3 linked regions of the Alligator mississippiensis genome follow. The protein of the gene in region 2 interacts with the protein of the main gene of each other region in a pairwise test. Links are inferred from orthologs where the notes say so. Each region holds a gene or a part of one and is shown on either strand. Other genes may lie near its edges.

The links.
Region 1: the proteins of HOMER3 (region 2) and paired box protein Pax-6 interact in binary tests that used the Homo sapiens proteins (3 or more experiments, as listed by UniProt). The link is inferred for Alligator mississippiensis from reciprocal best matches to the Homo sapiens genes HOMER3 and PAX6.
Region 3: the proteins of HOMER3 (region 2) and WIPF1 interact in binary tests that used the Homo sapiens proteins (3 or more experiments, as listed by UniProt). The two-hybrid records come from large-scale screens. The link is inferred for Alligator mississippiensis from reciprocal best matches to the Homo sapiens genes HOMER3 and WIPF1.

What each region holds. Positions count from the first base shown.
Region 1 is NC_081828.1:40,007,097-40,014,299, forward strand, and holds the start of paired box protein Pax-6, read right to left. Parts: upstream 3,008-7,203; 5' UTR 2,849-3,007; intron 631-2,848; 5' UTR 561-630; coding exon 446-560; intron 1-445. Other genes in the region: RCN3 (reticulocalbin-3), read left to right, coding at 6,412-6,529, 6,759-6,993. UniProt on the Homo sapiens protein: Transcription factor with important functions in the development of the eye, nose, central nervous system and pancreas. Required for the differentiation of pancreatic islet alpha cells.
Region 2 is NC_081839.1:1,369,415-1,377,094, forward strand, and holds the start of HOMER3 (homer protein homolog 3), read right to left. Parts: upstream 3,077-7,680; 5' UTR 2,954-3,076; intron 2,612-2,953; exon of another isoform or gene 2,424-2,611; intron 1-2,423. UniProt on the Homo sapiens protein: Postsynaptic density scaffolding protein. Binds and cross-links cytoplasmic regions of GRM1, GRM5, ITPR1, DNM3, RYR1, RYR2, SHANK1 and SHANK3.
Region 3 is NC_081827.1:210,164,625-210,171,676, forward strand, and holds the start of WIPF1 (WAS/WASL-interacting protein family member 1), read left to right. Parts: upstream 1-4,045; 5' UTR 4,046-4,231; intron 4,232-4,337; exon of another isoform or gene 4,338-4,518; intron 4,519-7,052. UniProt on the Homo sapiens protein: Plays a role in the reorganization of the actin cytoskeleton. Contributes with NCK1 and GRB2 in the recruitment and activation of WASL.

The DNA of each region.
Region 1 (7,203 bases), on a different chromosome or scaffold from region 2:
GGGGGGGGGAATGACCATGTCCCTAGCATGGGAGCAGAGACCCTGATGGAGCAATGGTGGGTGGAGTCGGATCTAGGGGTGCTTCTAACACCCCCCCCACCCGCTGTTTGCCCCCCAGATTTACAGCAGAGGTAACCGAGATCTGGGCCTTAACGGTGCCTGGGAGGTTTGAGAAAGAACCCAGGTATCCGGGTTTCCAGCCCCACCTGCTCTAGCCCCCCAGGCCCCACTGCCCTCCCTGAGCTGGGATAGAACCCAGGTGTCTGGCTCCCAGCCCCACACCCTGTTCCACCCCTTTAGACCCTGCTGCCCTCCCAGAACCAAGAGAAAACCCAGGTGCCAGTGAGGGCAGGGGCTGGGACAGGGTCCTGCTGGGGTGTGCCTGGGGGGTGAGCGGGGATCCCAGGCTGCCAGGCACCAAGCCCTGCCCCCCACCCCCGCACACCTGGGTTGGGCTGTGGTGATACCAGGCTCTCTGGGTACCAGTCCTGACGGCCACTCCACGCCGCGTTCTGTATGTTCAGCATCCCAATCTTCTTGTACAGGCTGTCTGCCCCCATGGACCAGCGCGGGGCCGCGGCGAGGGTGTGGGGGACCAGCCCCCCCGGGGCTGCAATGAGTCCTGGGCACCTGGAGACGGCGACAGGGCAGAGAGAGAGGCAGGCGGTCAGAGCGGCATGGAGATGCAGCTGCTTCTGGGGTGGGGGGTGCTGGGGCTGCCCAGCACCCGCCACCCCAGCCTGTTGCCCCCTAGTGCCCATGTCTGTCACTGTGTGGGGGACAGGCTGGTGCCTGCACAGCCAGAGCTCTCCATGGCCCTGTCCCCCAAGGCAGCTGCTGTCCCCGCTGTTGCATCAGCCTCCCACAGCCCTGCACTGCCCTTGAGAGAGCAAGGCTGGCACAGCTGCTGTTCAGGCAGGCAGAGCAGGGGGCAGCCTTCCCTGAGCCCCAACCCTGGACCCCCAGGCCTGTTGGTGCCCCTCACAAACAACCCACAGCTCCCCAGCCCTGCTGGCCCTACCCATCCCCTTTTCTCAGTCTCTCACATGCAGGGGTGTGGGGATTCCCATCTCGATGGACATTGGCCCCTCTGCATGCGCCGGTGGCCCCCCAGGGAGGTTTGGAGTCCTCATACTCCATTCACTAGAGGGGAAACTGAGGCGGGGGGGCTGTGCTTCCTTTAAGTGAGTGTGGGAGCCTTTGGGGGAGAGCTGGGGTTGGGGGAGGAGGGGGTTATGGTCACAAGGAGGCCCAGTCTCTCTCTCTTTCTCACATACAGACACATACACATGCAGGGCAGGAACACACAACATGGCAACACACAGCCATGTTCTCTGTGCTCCTTACACACACAGAGCACAGGAAACACAGCCACAGCCGCATGAGAGAGCAGCGCACAAAGGCAGCATCCTATACACGCCCCCCAGCCTTCAACACACACATGCAAGGCCTGACATGCATGCATACATGCACAAACACACACAGTGGCACACCACACACAAATGCCCACAGCACCACACACACACACCCACAAACCCACATGCGAATGCACATGCACACAGGCACAAACAGCGTCACATACACAGTGCACAAATGCACACATATGCACAGGTATACAGAGCATCACATACACATGCACATACAGACACTGGCAAACCACACACGTATGCATACTATGCTGTACAGGGCACATCCATGTACAGGCACACAGACCAACATGCATACAACACTGCACACCAGTACCCACGCCCGAACGCACATGCGTACCCACAGCATTTGCATGTGTTCACACATGCACAGACACACACGGGTACATACACATGCACGACTGCACCCACACCGCACTGAGCATGGCCATGCAAAAAAGCAAACACCCAGAATAGAGCAATGGCACTTGTATGTGCGCACATAAATGCACATGCACATGTGTGTGCGTGCACACACACACGCACACACTGCTGCAGCCCTATGCTGACTCCTCCTGGTCCTCCTCAGAGCAGGAGTGTGGGTGAGGGGGCAGGTGGGGGCAGTCATCTCCATGGCTTTCTTTGTCAATGTTGGGGGGGGGGCCGGCAGGGGCTCAGCCTGCCCCAGCCCAACTACCCTCCCATCCATGGGTGCAGCTCCAGGGGCATGAGTGATGAGCACTGATGAGGCTAGCAGGGCTGCAGGTCGGGAGTGAGGGGCACCAGCAGGACTTGGGGGGGAGGGGAGGCACAGGGCTGTGGGTCAGGAGTGAGGGGCAGCAGCAGGGCTGGGGACCATTATCTCACATTGCCCCAGGAACTGCACCCACAATATACCATTGCCCCCACCTGGACGCCTGGGTTCCATCCCTGCCCAGGCACCTGGGTTCCTAGGCTGCATTTTATCTGGGGCTGTGCTGGGTGCTAAGGGGGCGGGGCCCAGCCTGGGGGCAGGGCAGGGCTGTGGGTTGGTCTGGCAAGGGGCACAAAGGCAGGTCTATGCCCCCCTCTGTTTGCTGGAGAAACAGGGGAGTGAGATGAGCTGCCCCCACCCCTGCCATCCAGGTCAGGGGGGGCAATGCCAGGAGACCCCGCTCCATGGCTTCCCTCCCAGTCAAGGAGGAAGGCATCTGCTGGGCACCACTGGGGATGCATCACCTTCCTCCCATCCCACTGTCCCCATCTCCATCGGATCCAAGGGGGCAGGAATGTGGTGGCAGGAGGCTGTGGGTCAGGAATGAGGGGCACTGGCAGGGCTGAGGGGGATGGCAGGGGGCTGCAGGCTGGGAGTGAGGAGCACCAGCAGGGCTGGGGGCTGTGGGTCGGGAATGCCCCTCCCAGCCCCCATGGTCCCCCCCAGATGCTCCTCCACCCTGACGTACCTCACTTGGGGTCCCAGCTGGGGCAGGCTCCCTTCTTCTGGCAGGGCCTGTGCCGCCCCCTCCAAAATGCCACCTCCAGCACCAAATCCCTGGCCTCTGCCCAGCCTCGTCTGCTGCCAACCGGGTGCTGGAGAGGAATAAAGGCAAGTCCCAGGCGCTGGGGGGCGTTGGGGGGGGGGGGGGGGCTGTGTGTAGGGGGGGGACATGGCCGCCACGCGGTGACATTTGTGTTAAACTGTCCTGGCAGCTTTGAACTTAATTCTCTCCAATGGGCTCGGGGGGGGGGGGGGGGGGGGGTGGACTAGCAGGCAGTGGGGGGGGTGAGAAGTCCCCCAGTATCAGCCCATGCTCTGGTGGCTGAGAAGATCGGAGAGGAAAGAAGCTGCCAGGGATGCGCCAGGCTGGGGGAGGGGGTACGGCCTTGTGGGGGCTGTGGGGTGGTTGAAGCGGGATACAGGATGGAGGGGGTAGGAGGAGCTGGGGGCGGCTGTCCTGGGTGGGGCCTGCTCTTGTTGGCCACAGTGGGGCCGCACATGCAGGCATGCCTGCATGTGCATGCGTGTATACACAAGCAGGTAGGCATACAGCTACACACCAATGGACATATACATTTACACGTGTACAACCATGCATATGTGCGCGCACACACACACACACACACACACACATATCTTCCTTTGCTCCCCATCATGCCTCCTCTTTCCATGTCTCTTCCATTAGGAAAATCAGCCCTCTCCCCTGCCCCCATGGAAGGTGGAGGGGGCTGAGCACTGGGGGGTGCTGGGAGCAGACAGGGATCCCAAGGGAGGGGAGGCTAGGGGGGACAGGTAACCTCGTAGGTCTGGGATTCTCATAGCCAATGGTGTGAAGGGCAAAAGGAAAATGTCAGGAGGTGGGAACAGGCAGGGGTGAGGCGCACCAGCAGTCAGTGCTGTGAGGGGTAGGGGGCTGTAGATCAGGAGTGAGGGACACTGGCAGGGCTGTGGGGACCAGAGGGCTGCAGGTCAGGAGTGAGGGGCACCCCACAGTCTCTCATCTCTTGCCAGCCTCTTTCCTAGCTGCAGAGGGGCTGGGAGCCTGGACACGTGGGTCCCCCCATCTGAGTAGGGCCATGGGACCGCCCTTCTGGCTGGTTCCCAGGGGTTCTGGGGGTCTGTGGCTGAGAGGAACTGAGTTGAGCCACACACTCCCACCCTCACCCTCTGCTTCCTCCACACTCAACAACCCGCCAGCCCCTAGGACAAAAGGGAGTGGGGACCCTGACCCCTATCACGTGCTGCTCCCCAGCGGTGAGACCAGAGGTCCCCCACCCCCAGCCAGGAACACCCCAGCCCAGCATAGCCCCACCCCAAGGCCCAGGGACACTCCAGGCATGCACCCCCCCCAGATGCCTCCTCCCCTCTTCCCTGCCCCAGCCCCCCTGGGACCCCATAAATGCCCGGACTTGATACTCCTCCACTGGGCAGGGGCCCCAGGGATGGTGGGTTAAGTAGAAATCCGTGTTACAGTGACAGGGGCAATTAAAAATGCAAAGTGAGTGCATCACGTGGGGCCTGGGGGGCTGTCAGGGCCCATCGATGCAGGCTGGGGGCCGGGGGGGGGGCTGTGTACCCCCCTCTCCCACCCCCCTGCAGTCACCACCCCTGAGAGCTCCCCCTGAAGGGCAGGAACCCCCCACCCTAATCCCTGAAGCCCCCTCCAGCCAGGACAGGGCCAGACTCCAGTCTGAAACAGGCCTAGACAAGCACCAGATCCTTCCCCCCACCCCGCACCCGGACACCTGGGTTCCACCTCTGCCCCTGGCCCATGCAGGGGGGGAAAGGAGGGGCATCAAACACCACCAGCCTCCCTGAATCCTGCACCCTGGCATGACAGGGCACCTGCCCCCAGCCACCCCATCTGATCCGATTACTGCTGGCTCCTGACACAGCCCTGATGCAGCTAATTGGAGCCCAGGAGCTACGGAGGCAAAAGCAGGGGGAAAAGAGGAGGCTAATGCCTGCCCCCCCCATCCCAGCACAGACCCCCCCCCAACTCCAGTGTGGGTGAGATGGGAGGGATCAGACCCTGCTGGACCTACATAGGGAGTGACCCATTGCTGGAGAGCATGTGGCAGCTTGCAAAGCACTGACCTGAACACCTGGGTTCAATTGTTATAGGAGGAGAGCTGTGGGTGGGGAATGAGGGACACTGGCAGGGCTGGGGGGGAATCTCCCTGACCCCAAATGATGCTGCAGACTCGGCCCCTCTCCCCACACATGGCCAGTGCGTTGCAGGTCCCCTTCCCTTTCTGGTGTCACTTCAATGTGAGTTGCCCATGTGGACCGGGCATATTCGGGGCGTCGGAGCGGAGCTGACCGCTCCCCCATCTGTTGCTTCTATCCCAGAGGTGCCCTGAACCAAGACATAGCACAGGCAGCCCTGCCAGTGCCTCTCACTCCCAACCCACAGCCCCCTGCCCCCCCAGCCCTGCTGGTGCCCCTCACTTCTGACCCACAGCCCCCTGCCCCCTCACTCCAGACCTGCAGCCCCTGCCTCCCAGCCTTGCTGGTGCCCCTCGCTCCTGACCAGAAGCCCCCTACTCCACCCCCCTCCCCCCTGCCTTGCGGGTGGAGCTCACTTGCAACCCACAGACCCATGACCACTGCTCCCCTGGGACTCAGTGACACAGATCCCAGCTATGAGACTCACCCCCCAGCCATTCCTCCCCATCTGGCAACTCTGAGCTTATCCGTGTTGTATAAGGGGGAGGCGGTGGGGAATCCAGATGTAGTACTTCTGCCCAGGCCTCCCTAGGGGACTTCATTCCCTCCCTGCCCCCTGGCTAAGAGACTGGGATGTGCTAGTCTTGACCCACATGTCACAAATAGACAGGCTGCAGGGATGCCAGGGGCACTAGCAGGGCTGGGGAGCAGGGGGCTGCAGATTGGACCGGGGCCACACGCAAAATCCCAGCCCGACTCGTCTGACAGAAGAGCTGGGGCTGGTTCTCCAGGGCTTGGGGTCCCCAGGGCTCCCCCACCCCTGTCCCCAGTCTGCGAGAGCGGGCGGCGGGGGACCAGCACCTCCACTCAGCCCAGATACCGGGCAGGGAGGGGGGAGGCAGACGCCCATTGGACGAGCTCAGGTTAAGACCAAGGGTCCCAGCGGGCCGTGCCTTAGTTTCCGTGCTGGAGCGGCCTAGGAGGAGCCTGGAAGTGAGCACCGCAGGGCAGGAGGGGCCTGAGCCCTCGGTTCCCGCTGGGTCAGCGGGGGGGCGGCAAAGCCCCAGCAGAGCCCCCCCAGGACGGGGCAGCCCGGAGTGGGGGTGGGCAGGGACAGGGGCTGCTGTAGGATGGAGGTGGGGAGGGCTGCTGAGCTTGAGGAGGGCAAGACCCATCAAAGATCCTGCCTGCCTGGTCTCAGCCCCCGCGCCCCCTAACCCCCACGTGGCCTAGCCCCCGCCCCCCTCCACGTGGCCTCTCTGCCCAGAACTTGGCCACAACTTGCTTGGGGGAGAAACTTGTGTCAACGTGGCGACGGGCAGCCAATCAGCCAGCGTCCTGGCCCCGCCCCGCGGGGGTATGCCGCCCTCTCATTGGCCCCACCAGCCGAGAGGGTGGGCCTGTGTGGGGGGGCTGTTGCGGGGCAGGGGGAGCCGGGTTCCAGTCGGGGCTCGAACACGCGGCGGTTTGGAGCTGGGTGAGGTATGGGGAGGGGCCCTGGGGTCCCTCTAGTTGGGGGGGGGGTTGGGACAAAGGGCGCCTCCCCTGGGCATGGTGGGGCTGGGGTTCTGATAGGGGGTGTGGGGCAAGGCTGGGGGCTGCCTTGCAGGGGTGAATTGTGGGGGACTCAAGGACAGTGGAAGCTGGGGAAGGGGGCAAAGTTGTGGGTAGGGCTGGGGTCTCTACCCTCCCCCATTGCCCTGTAGGCGCAGGGATGTGGGTGCTGGCAGGCTGGTGGGTGCTGGCGCTGTGTGCAGTGGGGGGGGCTCTGGCCAAGCCACCCCCGGAGAAGAAGGACCGCGTGCACCATGGCAAGGAGCTGAGCGACCACCAGCACGATGACAACCAGGATTTCCAGTATGACCACGAGGCCTTCCTGGGCAAGGAGCAGGCCAAGACCTTTGACCAGCTCACGCCCGAGGAGAGCCAGGAGCGCTTGGGGTGAGCCGGGGCCCCGGCCAGGCAGCCAGGAGGAGACCCAGGCAGCCAGGCTCCCAGCCCCCACCATACACCAGCCCAGCAGACCCCATGCCCCTCCCAGAGCTTGCTCCTAGTGCCCTGTGCTCCCTACACCCCCCCCCCCCCCCCCAAAGCTGGGCATGGAACCCAGGTGTCTGGGCTCCCAGTCTACCACTCTGCGCTAAGCCCAGG
Region 2 (7,680 bases):
GAACTAATCCTCCCCTCTCCTCCTTCCCTGGTGTACCCTTGGCTTCCCGGTGAGAGATTAACCTAGGAGAGCTTAGTACAAAAGCAGCTCCCCCCAGCCTGTTTGCTGCTAAAGGGCACCAGGGGAATTGCACTCCTGTCGGATTAGTCGTGGGGGTGGAACGCGAGTGCAAGCGTGCAAGTTCAGACCCAGGGAAAGGAGGACCTGGGCGTTAAAGGCCCAGCACCGTTATGAAGCATTGCTTTTCCTGGACACCTCTCGCCACCAGGCCCGGGTCCCAGGTGACGAGGATGGCTCTGCGGCTGGGTGCACAGCGCGTGCCTGGAACAGTCCCCGTGCGGGGACGGACGTCTCCACTGGCTCTCCCAGTGCCACACACGGACTGGAGCCTTATCTGCACGGTGCTGGGAAGTCTTGAACATAGGGGAAGCAGAGTGCATTTAAGTAGTGCGTAGCCTAACCCAGAAAGCTAGAGTCTGGGCAGCGCTGCTGACAGCTCACCCTCGTCCCTCCAGTGCTGGGCTTCCAATGCCCCCCCGTAATAAGCATCTACGAGCACCCCGCTGTGCTCTGTGCATGTTTCTGCCTGCGTGCAATCATTTTAACCACAGCATCCTCAGCCCTTCCAGACATGGATGCCTGCTCAGTTCAGTGGGCGCAGCTCCATTCTCCTCTGCTGCCGTTTCAGTCCTGCCCCTGAACAGCGCAGCCAGGGCTCCTGAAGCATGACCAGAAGCCTCTCCTCTCCGACGCCCATCCTAGTCCTCCCTACAGCGGAGACTGCTGTGTCGTCTGCTAGGTGGAAGTGCGGACGAATGCTCACTGCAGGCGCAGCCGGGAGGTAAATGCATTTGCTTCCCTTGTGATCCAAGCAACGTTTGGAAGTGGACTCTTCCAAAGAAGAGGAGCCAGCACTTGAAAACCTACTGTGCAACGGGGATACATTAGAGTCCAGGAACAGGCTGTGCGGGAAAGCTACCCAGAGATACCAGAACGAGCATCAGGAGGACATACAATAGGCAAGATTTAAGAGTCACTGGTGAGGGGTAAGGACTGAATCCTTACTTCAAAATGAGCTCGCTTAAATCAACTGGTGGAAAATGATTCAAAAGGGGATGCTCTGTTAATGCCTTGGGAATCCAGAGAAATCTAATGCCTGCAGATGGCTGCTCAACATTTCCATGTGAACGATACACAAGCACAAAGGCATTTCAGTTCAGAAGGTCTATGCAACTAAAAACAGGGGATTTGGGATAGAAACACCACCTCCACGGTAACAGCAGTGCTGCTGCTGCTGCTGCAACCCTGTAATTAGAGCGAGATCTAAGAAAATATCAGGATGACATCGAATCAACCTTTTCTGTGGGAACTGGCAGGCCTCTAAAGAAAACGCAGAGCTGCTGGGTGTAGTCGTGATGACTCCAAGAAGGATTCATCTAATACACCTGGAGAATAAGGCGCCAGGCCCAACCTATGCACCTGAAACACCCTTCCTGGCAATCCCCAGGCTGAAGTTTTGGATTCAAGGTAGGGATCACGGAGACATGGGGCAGTTTCAGATTTCGAGTGGGACCAGTGTAAGCCCCACAGGCTTCAGTGGATTTGCTCCAGATTCATACTGGTTTAACTGAGACCTGGTTCTGTGCCTCTGCCCCTTCTGCCACCCCCATCTATATTTCACTCTGTCCAGTAATTCTTCCTGGGTTGCCTAAAACAAAAATCAGAAACTCAGCAAAAGAAACACAAGCCAGTGAACTTGCCCTCTAGTCTCACACTGACAGCTTGGGGGGATCTGGGGAGGCCGGGCTCCTCCCGGCCCAACGTGCTTCTGAGTGGCCCAGAAGAGTTCATTACAAAGCAACTCGCTCAGAGCAACGTCAGGGTCTTAAAATTACACGGCTGGGGTTTATTACCAGCACATTAATTAAACACCAGGCTACAATCTCTTTTTCATGCCCGTGCCTTCTAGCCACTTAAGCACAACATATTTCACCCCTGGAAGATTTTAGGGGGTCATAAACTTAAACTCACGTTGGAGATTTCCAATCAGACTCCTCACCCGCTCAGAAATGCAAGCAGTATCCCAATTACTGAGCACCAAGGTCACAAGGGAAAAACAAAACCTGTCCTTTTTAACTTGGGAGAAGGTGGCCAAGGGCTGTTCCTGACTCCCGCTCTGGACCCCAGGGCCCCGTCCCTGTATCCTGGTACCTGTCAAGAAGTTGCCGAGATTTGCAGTTGTCTACTTTGTGAACCCTTAAACTTTAGGGCTGCTTTGTACTCTTAAACTGGCATTTCTTTCTTGATGGCAACCTGAAGCCCTCATCCCCTCGGCTCGGATATACCTTAAAAAACATGTTGGGTTATTTAAACTGGTACGAAAACAAAAGATACACGAGTAATAATCAAAATGCCTGGCTCACCCCATCTCCGCCTGGGTGTCAGCTTCTTTCTTCTTGGGCTTCTCTTCGGCCGCCTTAGCTCCTCTCCACGTTTGATTTATTTTTCCCTTCCTCTTTCTTTCTCTCTTTCTCCGGATCCGGATGCTCTTTAAATTTCCTCCGGAATTTCACTTTGAAATCCGCTAGTTTTGTTGCTTGTTCAAAATGACCTATAATCCCAGAGGGCGTGGGGGAGGAGGCTGGGTGAGGTCCCGAACACCCTCCCGAGGAGAGGTCTTCCCCACCGAGAGCGGCAGCCCAGGGGACCTTGGCCAAGAACTTTGGAGCACACTTTGCTGCTGAGATGTTGCAGCCTCCGGCCCGCAGTGTCCTCCTCTCTCCTGCTCGCAGGATCCCTTCCTCCCTTCAGCATGGGGAGGAGAGCAGCAGCAGCAGCAGCAGGATTATTCACTGCTTTTGCAATCCCTTTAAACAATGCTGCCCACTCCCTTCTACTCTAGGCGACTGATAAACCCTGGAAGTTTTTTCCACAGCCCAAAAAGTAAAGCTACCTCTCCAGTTGATCCCTCTTGATTGCGATTTCTTTGTTCTCTCTTTTTATCCGCTTCCTTCCTCTGCCAACTGCCCCATCTCGGTCACATTTCTCTTTTCTTTCTCCTCACTTTATTTCCAATGGGTTCCAGCTGGCTCAGAGGCACCACCTGCCGGGCACAGCTCACATCTACACCCGCCGAAAAACCAAGCTGCTAAATAAGATCAGCACAGCTCCAAGATATCCCAACACACCTCCTTTCCCGGGGCTTCGCCCTTATATTGTAATCTCGTACATACTACGGGTCTAAGCTTTGACCAAAGGGGTCTGAGCAGCTGCTGCCTGCTCCAATACAGCCTGCCCCTTCTACCCCAGGTATCTCAAACGTGTTCGCTAATACTTTAGAAAAACAGCACGTCCCTTTTATTCCAGTCTAGGGAGTGGTTTCCCTCACCTCCCTGCGTGGGCCAAATTCTCCATTCCTTTGTATTCTGGGTGGACGTTTGCACCTGTGCAAAGCGAGGCTGAGCTGCTATTACATTTGTAAGGGATTGAGGGATTGGGGGAAGGGAAGTTTCTGGGAAGCAGAGAGAGAAAACACTTGAGGAGTGGGGTGGGAAATCAGCTGAACGTGACCTGCCAATGTGACACGACGTCAATCCTTGGATGTACAAACAGGGACATACGGACACACTATATTTCCCCTGTATTTGGCACTGCAGCAACCACTTTCTGGAGTGATGCATCCAGCTCTGGTGCCTACAGTTCAAGAAGACAAGGTTCCTTGGACCCTGTGTCCTGAGACCAACACGGCTACAACCTACACCCCTCAAACATGCAAGAGACACTTCAAAAAGGAAGTTTAAAAAAATTGCAGAGGGCTGAGGGAAGGATGCTTTAAAAAACTGGAAACTGTGCCTGCCCGGTAAAAGATTATAAGAATTTGAAGAATTCAATCTGCTCCTAAAGTTGCAAGTCTTTAGACTTGATCGCAGCCCATAAACCTGGACAGGCTTAGGTTAGAAATAAGGTGCAGCGCTTTAGCAGCGAGAGTTATTAACCAACCGAACTGCTCATCTAGGGACGGGTGGAGACTTCATCCCTGGGAGATGTTGAATTAAGGTCAGGTGTCTTAGCAAAGGATGTGTTCTAGTTCAAAGAAGAATTAATTCCAAGAAGGCCTGTGTTACACAGCTGGCTTTTAAATCTGTGACCTGGGGTCTTTTGCACCTACTCTGCACAGGCATAAATAACAGAACTGAAAATGGAGACTGGAGAACTGGTCCCGTGGCAAAAATGTATAAATCAAGGGAAGGTTGGGTGGACAGATAGATAGACACATTTGACTCTAGGGATAGAGATAGGCAGCCCAAAATAAGCACTAGAATCTAGGGATGGAAATAGATTAGATGGTATTAAAGAAAACATATCTTCCTGCACCTAATACGCACTTTAGGAGTACCAGCAAACATCTCGTGATTGTGCTCCAAGGCCCTAATTCACATTTGTTGTACAGCCACAACAGGCCAGCTCCTCCCCTGCTGTAAATCCATTGACTCCACCAGGCTAACGCTGGGGATGAATTTGGCCCCAAACAGTCTGATGCCTTTGTCCTCAGGCCGTGGATGCCACGCAGCTTCCGTGAGCTGCACCAGTGTGAAATGGGCAGCACTTTATTCTCGCCTGTCACTAACAGAAGTGACTATGCCCGGCGCAGGATAACAGAATTGGGGCCTTTAGGTTTGTTTCCCAGACATCAATATAAGAGACCATATTGAATCAGATAATGGAACCAAATCATCCTCTTCAGTGGGCAAATATCTATGAAACTATACCCACACTTTAAAGAAAATGGAGTTGCCACCACATTTGAAGCAGCGACAGCTGCCTGACCTTGGGGATCACTTTGGGGGCTGAAATGTCAACTGCACCTGCCCTGGCTCACCTGGGTGTTCAGTGCTACAGCTGTCCCCTCCTCCTCACCCTGCTGTCTTGCTACCAGGAGACCTCTCTACCTACCTAAAGAGTGCCTAGAGCACCTCCCTCTCAGGTGTTTACAAGCTAAATGCAGGTAGAGTCTCAAGTTCTGCCTCTCTGCAAGGCAGCACAGCGGAGTTGACTCTTCACACTGACCCTGCCGCACCTGCAGCCTAATGACTTGCAGGGAAGAGAAGGCAGGAAACAGGACTTGCCGCTGCTCTTCTACTGAGCTTTCTGCACTATCTCCAGCAGGCTGCCAGTGGGGTTTCTGCATAAAGCAGCTGCTCTCTGGTACCATTTTCCTTCTGTTCCAACCCAGCCTCCAAACCTGCAGCATCACAACCACGCAGCTGCTTCCATCGGCTCAGAAGCAGCATAGTGCACAAAGTACAGCTATAGACTTGGGTCCTGCTGTGAACAGCCCTGTCTTATGTGTTATGGCCAAAGGAAAAAAAAAAAGATCACATTTTTCCTCTGACAGCAATGGCTGCATTAGAAGAGAAAAAGCCGTTCTGTCTGTATTCAGTTCTGGCACCTCCTTTTGCAACCCGGTCCAAGTGTAAGAGCACATGCACATGCTTAGCATTTGCTAAAGCAGGCAACAGTTGTGCAAGCTTCTCATATTCATACGTCTAGTGATGTCCTTAAACCTTGGCTCCTGGCAGGGAACTAGTCCCGACTTTCCCTCCAAACCCAGCACTGCCAATGCACTCGAGTCATGATCAAAAACAGTGCTGTTTTCTGGGCTTTCACAGTGCCTCAATCCTGACCTAACACTTCCCACTAAAACTAAAGCCAGGCCTCTCGTGAACAGACTGCCAATAGTGCTGAACTGTGTGGTGATTGGAGGAGTCCAATCCCATTTTTGCTTGTGATTTATTAGGTTGCCTACTTTAATAAGGAATTTCCCCAAGAGAGTTTTCGTTAATCTCTGCCAGTTCTGCACATTAATTTCTCCATGCCTTAATAGCTTCAAGACAATGCTGTTGCTTTCACCAAAATAGTAAGTTATGTCCGAGCAGTTTTACAAGGCAATGTGGGTGTAGCAGCCATTCTTCCAGCCCTATTCACGCCGAAGCCTTTGAGCAGACGACAAGCACCAGGACTGCCTGAACTAAGACCGTAAGCATTTTGGGGCGAGGGACTGACTTTTTGTTGCACTTTGATGCTGACCAGCCAGATGAGGCCGATACCTGATCTAAATAATATGTACCAAAAAGAACAGCAACAATGCCTTCACTCCTCACCTTCCTCCCTTTGCCACAGTAGCCCTCCCACCCGTATTTCCCAGGATTTATAGGAGTTATCTGGAGAGTTGTCATCTTTCTGATGCTGGGGGGCCCGGTGCTGAGAGGCTGTGGGCAGCTGCCAGTGTTATAAGTGGTGTCAGCTAGACCGATCTGAACAAGGTCAGATTTTATGGTGCTTGGAACAGGCTGCAGCCTTCAGCGCTGATACTGGGGGAGCTGAACCAGGGGAGGAAAAGATGGGAAAGGTTTCTTAGCGCACATGAAGCCACAGCCAGAAAAGTCTTGACAACTGGGGACTAGTGAGGGCAGTCTGGGTGCTGCTCTCATCCGCTGGACTCCAGGACTGACTCCCCTCACAGCGCCAGGGCTGAGTTCAATGCCAGCACAGGACTGAATTGTGCCCTTTCTGCTTTTGCTCCATTTTCTCTGCCCTTCTTCTGCACAACATGGCCACCAATGACAAAAGGACTAAAATAAACTGCACTGAAGACACCACTGAAAGTAGGGCACAATATCTTTCATATCGACCTGCTAACAGTGGGTTATCTATGGCTCTTCTTAGAAGCTAATTATTTTACACATTTAAATTAGGATAATTAGATCAGCAGGAATTGAACTGAAATCAGATGTTAGTAGCCTTATGAGGATTTTCTTTAACAGGGTTTTGTGCTCTATCTGTCCCTCCTCCTAGCGAGGAGGGGCGGGGGAAGTGTCCCCTGACCTGAAGAAAAGAAAAGAAACGAGATGAGATATTTTGATCACCACCCATGTCATTAATTACGCGGCCTTTGTCAAGTCTGCGCCATTAATCTTAATGGAGCTCTTTACATAAAGCCATTCAGAATATAGCCAAGAGCACACACTGCCAAAAGACAAACCGAATCCTGTTCAAATCACTGGCCAAGATACACACCTTTGGTCTAGCTTTTTGCATTTTACCGATACCTTGGGTGACTGCAGTCAGACAGTCCTCAGCAGTATGGTGTGCAAGCAGCTGTTCAACTTCCTCATTTTCAGCTGTCCATTTTTATATGCAGTTCTCATGTCCTCACCATGCTCCACATGACTTAGTCTTACACAGAAGGCAGAGTATTCCCACCTTTACATCCTTCCAAGAAAAGTGCCAATATTATTAATGCATTGATTAGTATCTGAAAAAATGCCAGACATAAGAGATCTGGGAAGGGAACTGAACAGTGCTCGCAGCTTTTAGAAAGTTTCAAGAGCTGGCCCCTGCTTCTGTGGTATTTGCATGTAACAGTATACATCAGAAGGCCTTGTACAACGCACATCTGTTTTAAAGATAGTCTGATCCACAGGAATAAGAATGCATGAAAAGAGAGATACTCTCACTCTCCGTGTAAAAACACTTCAATCCAGTTGTGTTACATAGTCAGAAGGGTATGTTAAATGACATTTACTTGGTCTCTTTTTTTCTATTTGGCTATAACGCACGCACCAAATTGGTTTCCAAGCATCCTTTTCAATTAATTTGAAAGTGGGTCTGATGGTACAG
Region 3 (7,052 bases), on a different chromosome or scaffold from region 2:
CTGCACCGGGGACCAAATGTGTCCAGATGCTGGTGAAGGCACTGCTCATCATATACATGAAAAAAGGACAGGATTGGAGGTTTCATAAATAACTATTATGACAAATTAGTGCATGTGTGTGTCTAATTTTTTGTAAATTAAACAGCTTCTTTTTTTGTAAATGCTGTTTTGAATGCAAAAGGCTATTGTGCCTTTCAGTATAACCTTTTGGGCTAGGGACAGAAGTTACACAAACTGGTTTAAATATGTAATGTAACAGAAGTTCAGTGTACATAAACCAGCTTCAAAATGGCCACAACTGGTTTGTTTAATATAAACCTGATTGACTGTAGTATCAGATTTGGGTCAAACAGGTTTATGGAACTGCTGTCCCAGACCCCTTCCTGGTTTAAGTTAAATCAGAGTCCCCCAGCATGCTTTTCAGCCTCTGGCAGGGGCAGGGGCATGGCAGCCGGGATGGCCCCCTAAGGTGAAGGGGCAGGGAGAGGGTTTATTCCTTCCCTCTCCCCCCCAGGGGGACTGTAGCTGGGATTTGCCTGACCAGGGTGGAGGAGCCCCTGTCAGGGTCCCCTCCATCATGGCTCCAGCTGTGGGGGTGTGGCCAGAGCCAACCAGCATGGGCCTGCCTTGCCGGGGCTAAGGCTGGGACTGGGGCTGAATCAGGCCAGCCCACAGGCAAGGCCCTTCCCAGCCAGCTGTGGCTCCATGGCAGCCTGGCTCAGTGTGCATGGGTGACAGCTGGCTAGGCAGCAGCACAGAGGTGATGCCACTGAAGCTGTGGGCAGGTGCCTTGGCAGCCAGACTGGCTACATGGGAGGAGTCCATTATGGCCACAGCTGCCCAGGCAGGGGCTTATGTGCCTGCAGCTGCCACTGCCAAGCCTCCTTCATGGACAAACAAGCACTGTGCAGGGGGCACGCAGGGCACACCTTGAGGTGTGTGGCTGCCAGGCTCTGGGCCTACTGGTGCCTGCAGCTGCCCAGGCCAGCTTGGAGGCATGATGGACTTGTCCCATATGACCAATCCAGCTGCCAAGGCACAGTCGCAGCAACATTGCCTTTGTTCTGCTGTCTGGCCAGCTGCCGCCCATTTGCACTGACTGGGTCAAGCTGTCATGGAGCTGGAGCTGGCTGAGAAAGGCCCTGCTCTTGTGGGCCAACCCTACTATTTTCCTGCCTTGCCCTGGGCTGAGTGGGGTCAACTGCAGGTGCTGCTGAGGGTGGGTGTGGGGGGCCAGTTGGGGCTGGGCCATGGGGCAAGGGCCCTTCACAGCTGGCTGCAGCTCCATGACAGCTCAGCCCAGCCTAGGTGTGGGGAGCTGGGAGCAATCAGCCCACCCCCACCATCTGCTCCGAGGCACACGTGCACCCGCCGGTATGGAGATAATGCTAGAGCCTGGAACAACTGGCTGCAACTGGCCCAGGCTCTGGGTAGCTGCTGCCAACCATGGAGCCCAGTCTGCTTGCAGCAGGGCTTGCAGCCACCCAGCCGCCTGCTGGGAGCAGCCCGGGCTTCGTGGCTGGCAGCAGCTGCCTAGAGCCCAGGCTGGCAGCAGTGTGCGGAGCCAAATGGCCTCACATGCCGTGCTCAACACACGTGCTGGGGGTTGCTGACCCCCACTCTAGATATTTGTGTGTGATCCTTACTGATAGATAAAGGACACTATATTTTCTCACTTTTGGGGCTGATTTAAAACATAAACCTTGTGCAGTCTAGTTTTTAAATTTACTATAGATACATTCAGCTAAGCAAGTACATTCAGCTCAGGCTTATGAAAGAATTCAGTATAAACATGCTAATTAAGTAATGTGCCTGGTTAATAGGCTATTTGGTGGTGGTAATACCTTTAATCATACTGAGTTGTGTGTGCTCATATCTGTAGCCCTCCTGCAGATGTACATTAACTCTGAAAACTGATGTTCAGATAAACCACTGTTTAAAATATTGGGCCTAGGCCTTTCACATAATAGGATTATAAATTTGCTTTCTTACATGTTTGTGTATAACCTGTACATATAACCCATATTAGAAAGAGTATGGGCCCTTCCCCACTCAATGATTTGTCTACAAAAAATATTAAGAGTCTACCATGGTTGCTGGCTAAAGTCATTCCTTCAGGAACAGAGGCTCTCTTTTTAGTTTGAAAGATCTATCATTCTAACTTTACTGTCAAACTAATGTTCTTGTTAAGGCAGCAGCTCTGCAACTATAGATATTTCTTAGTCAGAGGTACTAAGGAAAGGAATAGATTTTAAAGATATTTACCACAAGTAAAACACTGTAGCACAGCTAATAGGACAGCATCTTTTGAGGAGCCAACTGAAGTCTCCTCCATTGAATAGAATTGAACACTATCTGCTTGGGGCACAGCTGGGCACTACAGGTTTCCCTTGCTAACGGCTGGGTTTAGGTTCCTGAAAGTTCCTGTAGTTGGCAAAACCGTGGTTGGCAAGACAAAAGGTTTATGGGAAAAATGGCAGGTGGCGGGCTGATGCGCAGCCACAGAAAACTGTGGTTACTCAAAACTGCATCCCGTGGTAGCCAAAATGGTATATAAAATATTAAGTGTGGATACTCAAAACCGTGGTTGGCAAGGGAAACCTGTACTGCATCCTGGAGAGACGTGGCAAACAGGGCGGCAGCAGCGGCTGGGTTGCTGCCACTGGCAGGGAGACAGTCTGTCCCAAGGCTGCACTGGCTATCGGGGCACCTTTTCATGTAGCAATAACTTTCCTCCATTCTTCCCTGTCTTTTGCAATCCTTGTACAGTCACTGGCACTGGCAATGGCAGCTATGTGTGTACTCCCCCCAAGTGGGTGACCCAGGGCTGGTGTCCTGCTCACCCGCCCTCAGTTGCTCTACTGCTAGCTGCCATAGGGAGTCTCAACAATGTTATCCACCCCCATGCCTCAGGGTGCTCCCACCTCTCTTGTTTCTTAGTCTTTACATAAAAGCAGCTAATGCCTTGTTGTGAGGTTGGCTGGACATTTACATTGGCACCAAATTCAAAATAGGCCATGAGGAGACAGGTGGTAGGAAATACAGACAGTCCTCAGACTTAGGACACAAGTCGAAACATTGTAACTCAGAACCAATTTTCTCATAAGAAACAATGTTATAAATGGGGGATTGGTTCCTGAACCAAGGCCCCTTTCACCAAAAATACCCCAGAATTTTGTACTTGATCAATTATAGATGAGTAATATAGCTACATTAATGTATTTATATTGTAAATAGCAATCATATTTATTTGGAAGGACTTCTTTGAGGAGACTTTGCTGGACTTTTTGAAAGGCTCTTAGTTGGACTTTTTGAAGGGTTCTTGGCTGGAGTCTTCTCCGGAGTCATGGCTGGAGTCGTGTCTGCTTTCTTAAAGAAAGTGTCCAAGGCAGTTTGGACAGATGTTCTCCAGGGAAATGAGTGACGCAGCAAACTAGTTTGCTGGCATGGTGTCGCATTGGATCAAGCGTTGTAAAGTCAAAACTGAGGTCAGAAAGTTGAAAACAGGGTGTCAATTTATAAACGCTGTAAGTGCGAAACATTGTAACTCGAAACATAAATTGAGGACTGCTTGCACAGCTGATATGCATAATCCAAAATCAGGGGACTTTGGAACCTGTGGCCAGCTGACTTTCTAAAGAGGGTGCAGCCCTGCTGAGCCAGGGGAAGTCAAAGCAAAGTTTGAGGTGAGTTGATATCTGGTTTGGGACAACGTGGGTAGCTGCGGGAGCCAGGAAACAAGATTTTTTGGGGCTTCAACTGCCCTTCACAAGGTCTGAAAAAGCAGCTGTCACTGTCCAAGCACAGGCCAAGTGAGGACAGTTAACTACAGCAAGGAGAAATAACTCCCCTTCAGTGTTAGCCCGCGACCCTGGCCGCCCTTCCCTTCATCGCTGCCCCCCGCAGCCGCGTCCCGCTCTGTGCCCGCCGGGCAGCAGGGCTCGCGGAGGCAGGAGCAGGGTAAGGGCATCGCTTCACGGCGGCTTCACTCCGCTACCGGGCATGTGCGGACGCGCCGCACATGCTCACTAGGGACAAGCCCGGTCTTGGGGCATGTGCCGAGCGGGGCCGGGCCAGGCTGCGGCAGCTGCTGCGGGCGCGCTCTGTCCCCGCCGCTCCCGGACGCTATAAATAGCCTCCCATGCAGAAAATGGCCCGGGTGCTGCAGCGGCTGGATTGTGGGCGCGAGCTGCCCCCGGCTCCCCAGGCGTGAGGAGCCCGGCAGGACGTGGTAAGGGAAGCGGCTGCCCCGCTCCGGGCCGGCCCCCAGCTGCTCCCCGCGGGCCGGGCGGGGCGGGGCGGGGCGGGGAGTGGCGGGGCGTTGCCAGCCCGGGGCCCGTCGCCTGGCGCCCAACATCTGGGCAGAGCGCTGCCTGGGCTCGGCACAGCTGGAAAGGGGGATCGATCCGGGCGCTCTCCTGCCCTGTCTGCTGCAACCTCCCGGGGGCCGCGGGGCTGGGGGGCGTCGCTCGCAGCCCGGGGGCTCGGGGCTCGGATTCGCGGGGCAGCAGGATGAAGGTAATGGCTGGGGTAGGGCCAGTCGTCTTCCCCACCCCCGCCTGCTTTCGTGGTGGGACACAGCCTCCGCCCGCCGGGTCCTGGCACTCGCCTCCCCCCGTGTGTCCGCCGGGCCGGGGCCGGGGCCGGGGCCCGCGCGGGTCTTGGGGTCTGGCAGCGCGGGAGTGGGGGGGAGTTTATCCCGGATAAACAAGGGGCCCGCAGGAGCCGGCGGCTGAAAGTCCCACGTGAAAGCCCAGAGCTGGGACAAGCGCGCGGATGTGCACTGACACTGAATCTGCCTCGACCCCAGAGCTTTGTGCATCTCTGACACTGAATCGGCTTTCTTGCCTATTTCTTTTTTCCAGACCTGTCTGTCTAGCCCTCGGATCCGCTCTCCGTGCTCTGAAGCCGTTACCGCTCCTCCCGGCCATCTCCAAACACTGACTTTGTGCTCTCTTGCTGTGATCCTTCTCTGCTTCTCTTTCCTTTTCTCCCCTCTCTACTTCCTGGATTGTTTTAATCTGCTCTTGGAGATGAATCCTGCTTTCTCTTATGCCCCTGGGGATGATTTCTTAGGGCACCGCCTTTTATTGGCCCAACTGTGTCCTGGGGATACAGTTAAACAAGCTTCCCAGTGTAAGGCGTTCTTCCTCTGGTCTCAAGTAAGAGACTGTGTAGGATGCAGTGAGACCTGAGGAAGCATGTCTTGCATTCAAAAGCTTGTCTAACATTATCTGCAGGCACCTACCCTGGAGATCTTCAAAAAGATACTGGACACACACCTTGTTGGGGTTATTTGATCCCAGCAGTCTTTCCTGCCCAGAGCAGGAAGGCTGGACCTGATGATCTCATGAGGTCCTTTCCAGCCCTAAACGTCTGTGAATCCCAGCTACAGAGTTGGTCTAGTAAAAGATGCTGCCCTAAGAGATCCTTGCCTGTCACATAGTTTCTGGACCATTACAGCTACAACATCACTCTTGAACTTGCTATCTTGGCTCTACCCAGATGCACACAGATTTTGCTAAAGCCGGAATGCCAGTTCCTGCTCAGTTACATCCCACACAGCCAAGGTCAAACTTTAGTGGGGTGGTAGAGGAAGAGCTGTATAGTGATATTAAGGCTGCAGCTTGCATTAGTGACAGCAGATGAGATGCCATCACAGTTGCTTGTGCAGATGTTCATGATATGGGCATCCTTCCTTCCCGCCCCTCCCCCCCCCCCCAAGTTGCTGTGATCAGCAATTAAATAGTATAGGGGAGACATACATTTTTGTTGTCCTTAGACATGTGTTAAGGAATCCAAAATATGAACACTTCGTTGTGTTTCTGATTTTTAAATGTTTACTCAAGAAAGGGAAATACACTTTAGCTGGAATCAGTTGCATGGGAGCATTGTGCAGGCTTCCTCCACACTGCCCTCTTACCCAACACCTTCAGTGCTGCTCTGGGGCATGCCCAGAAGATCTGGTGATCTTGTGTCTGCTAGAGACCCAAATAATTTGGCCAACTACAACCTGCAGGCTGGGCCCAACCCACAGCCATGTTAGGTATGGCACAGGTAATGAAGAAAGAACAATTAAATTCTTGGTGCTTGCATACCTTCTGTGTGGGCTTTTTTTATATTCCTTCCCAGAGTCTGTATAGTGGAGAAGTATGACCGTTTTGACATGCTTGTCTCCTGCCTGCTTAGTAGGAACACATGAGAAGGGGCTAGAGCTAGAATAAAGAATTCAAGAGACAGAGGAGAGGAACATTTCAGAAGAAGAAAGTTTATCACTGGGTTATGATACTCTTATAGGATGGTCTATTGTTTTAACAATCATTGTGGTCACCGTTTGGTTCATCTGTCTCTGTCCTGTTGTTTTTTTATCATGCTGATACTTTGTCTCCCTTGTCTCCGTCTTTTTTGATGTTGTCTTTTAAGCTCCCTGTTATCCTGTTCCCATGAAACTGCCAGGGATATGTTGTCTTCTGAGGTGTGCCTGTCAAATGAACTTGCTTCTGTGTTACCACATTATGCTATTTAATTTCTTTTACAATGAGTAAATTTGCCTCCTCTAAAAATGTTGAGACATGCAAAAGGTAACTCATTTGGTTTATCTTGTCGATTTTAGACTGTAAGCTCTTTGGGGCAGGGACTGTCCTTCTATGTGTGTCTAGTTTGTTTACAGTACTTGGGGAAACTGGGGACCTTGTGCTTGTCTCTGGCACCTAGATAAATAATAAATACAGTATCAGCTTCCTCATGATTTTATCAACCACTCCATTTGAAATGTATGCATTTTTATGTGGCTATTCTGCAACTAAAGATAGTGAAAACCGCCAGTTCTTTATGTTTGTTTTAATCCATATCCAGATCATTAATGAAAGATTTATCTATGGGCTACCTTGCTTAGTATTTATCAGGCCATCTCCCTTTAAAATAAGAATTAGGGTTGCCAACTCTGTTTGAATCTATTCCAGGAGGTTTTATCATGTGATGTAAAGACATTCATGACTGATCTAGGCAAATGTACATTACTACATTTTAAAAACCCCACTGGACTACTGTAT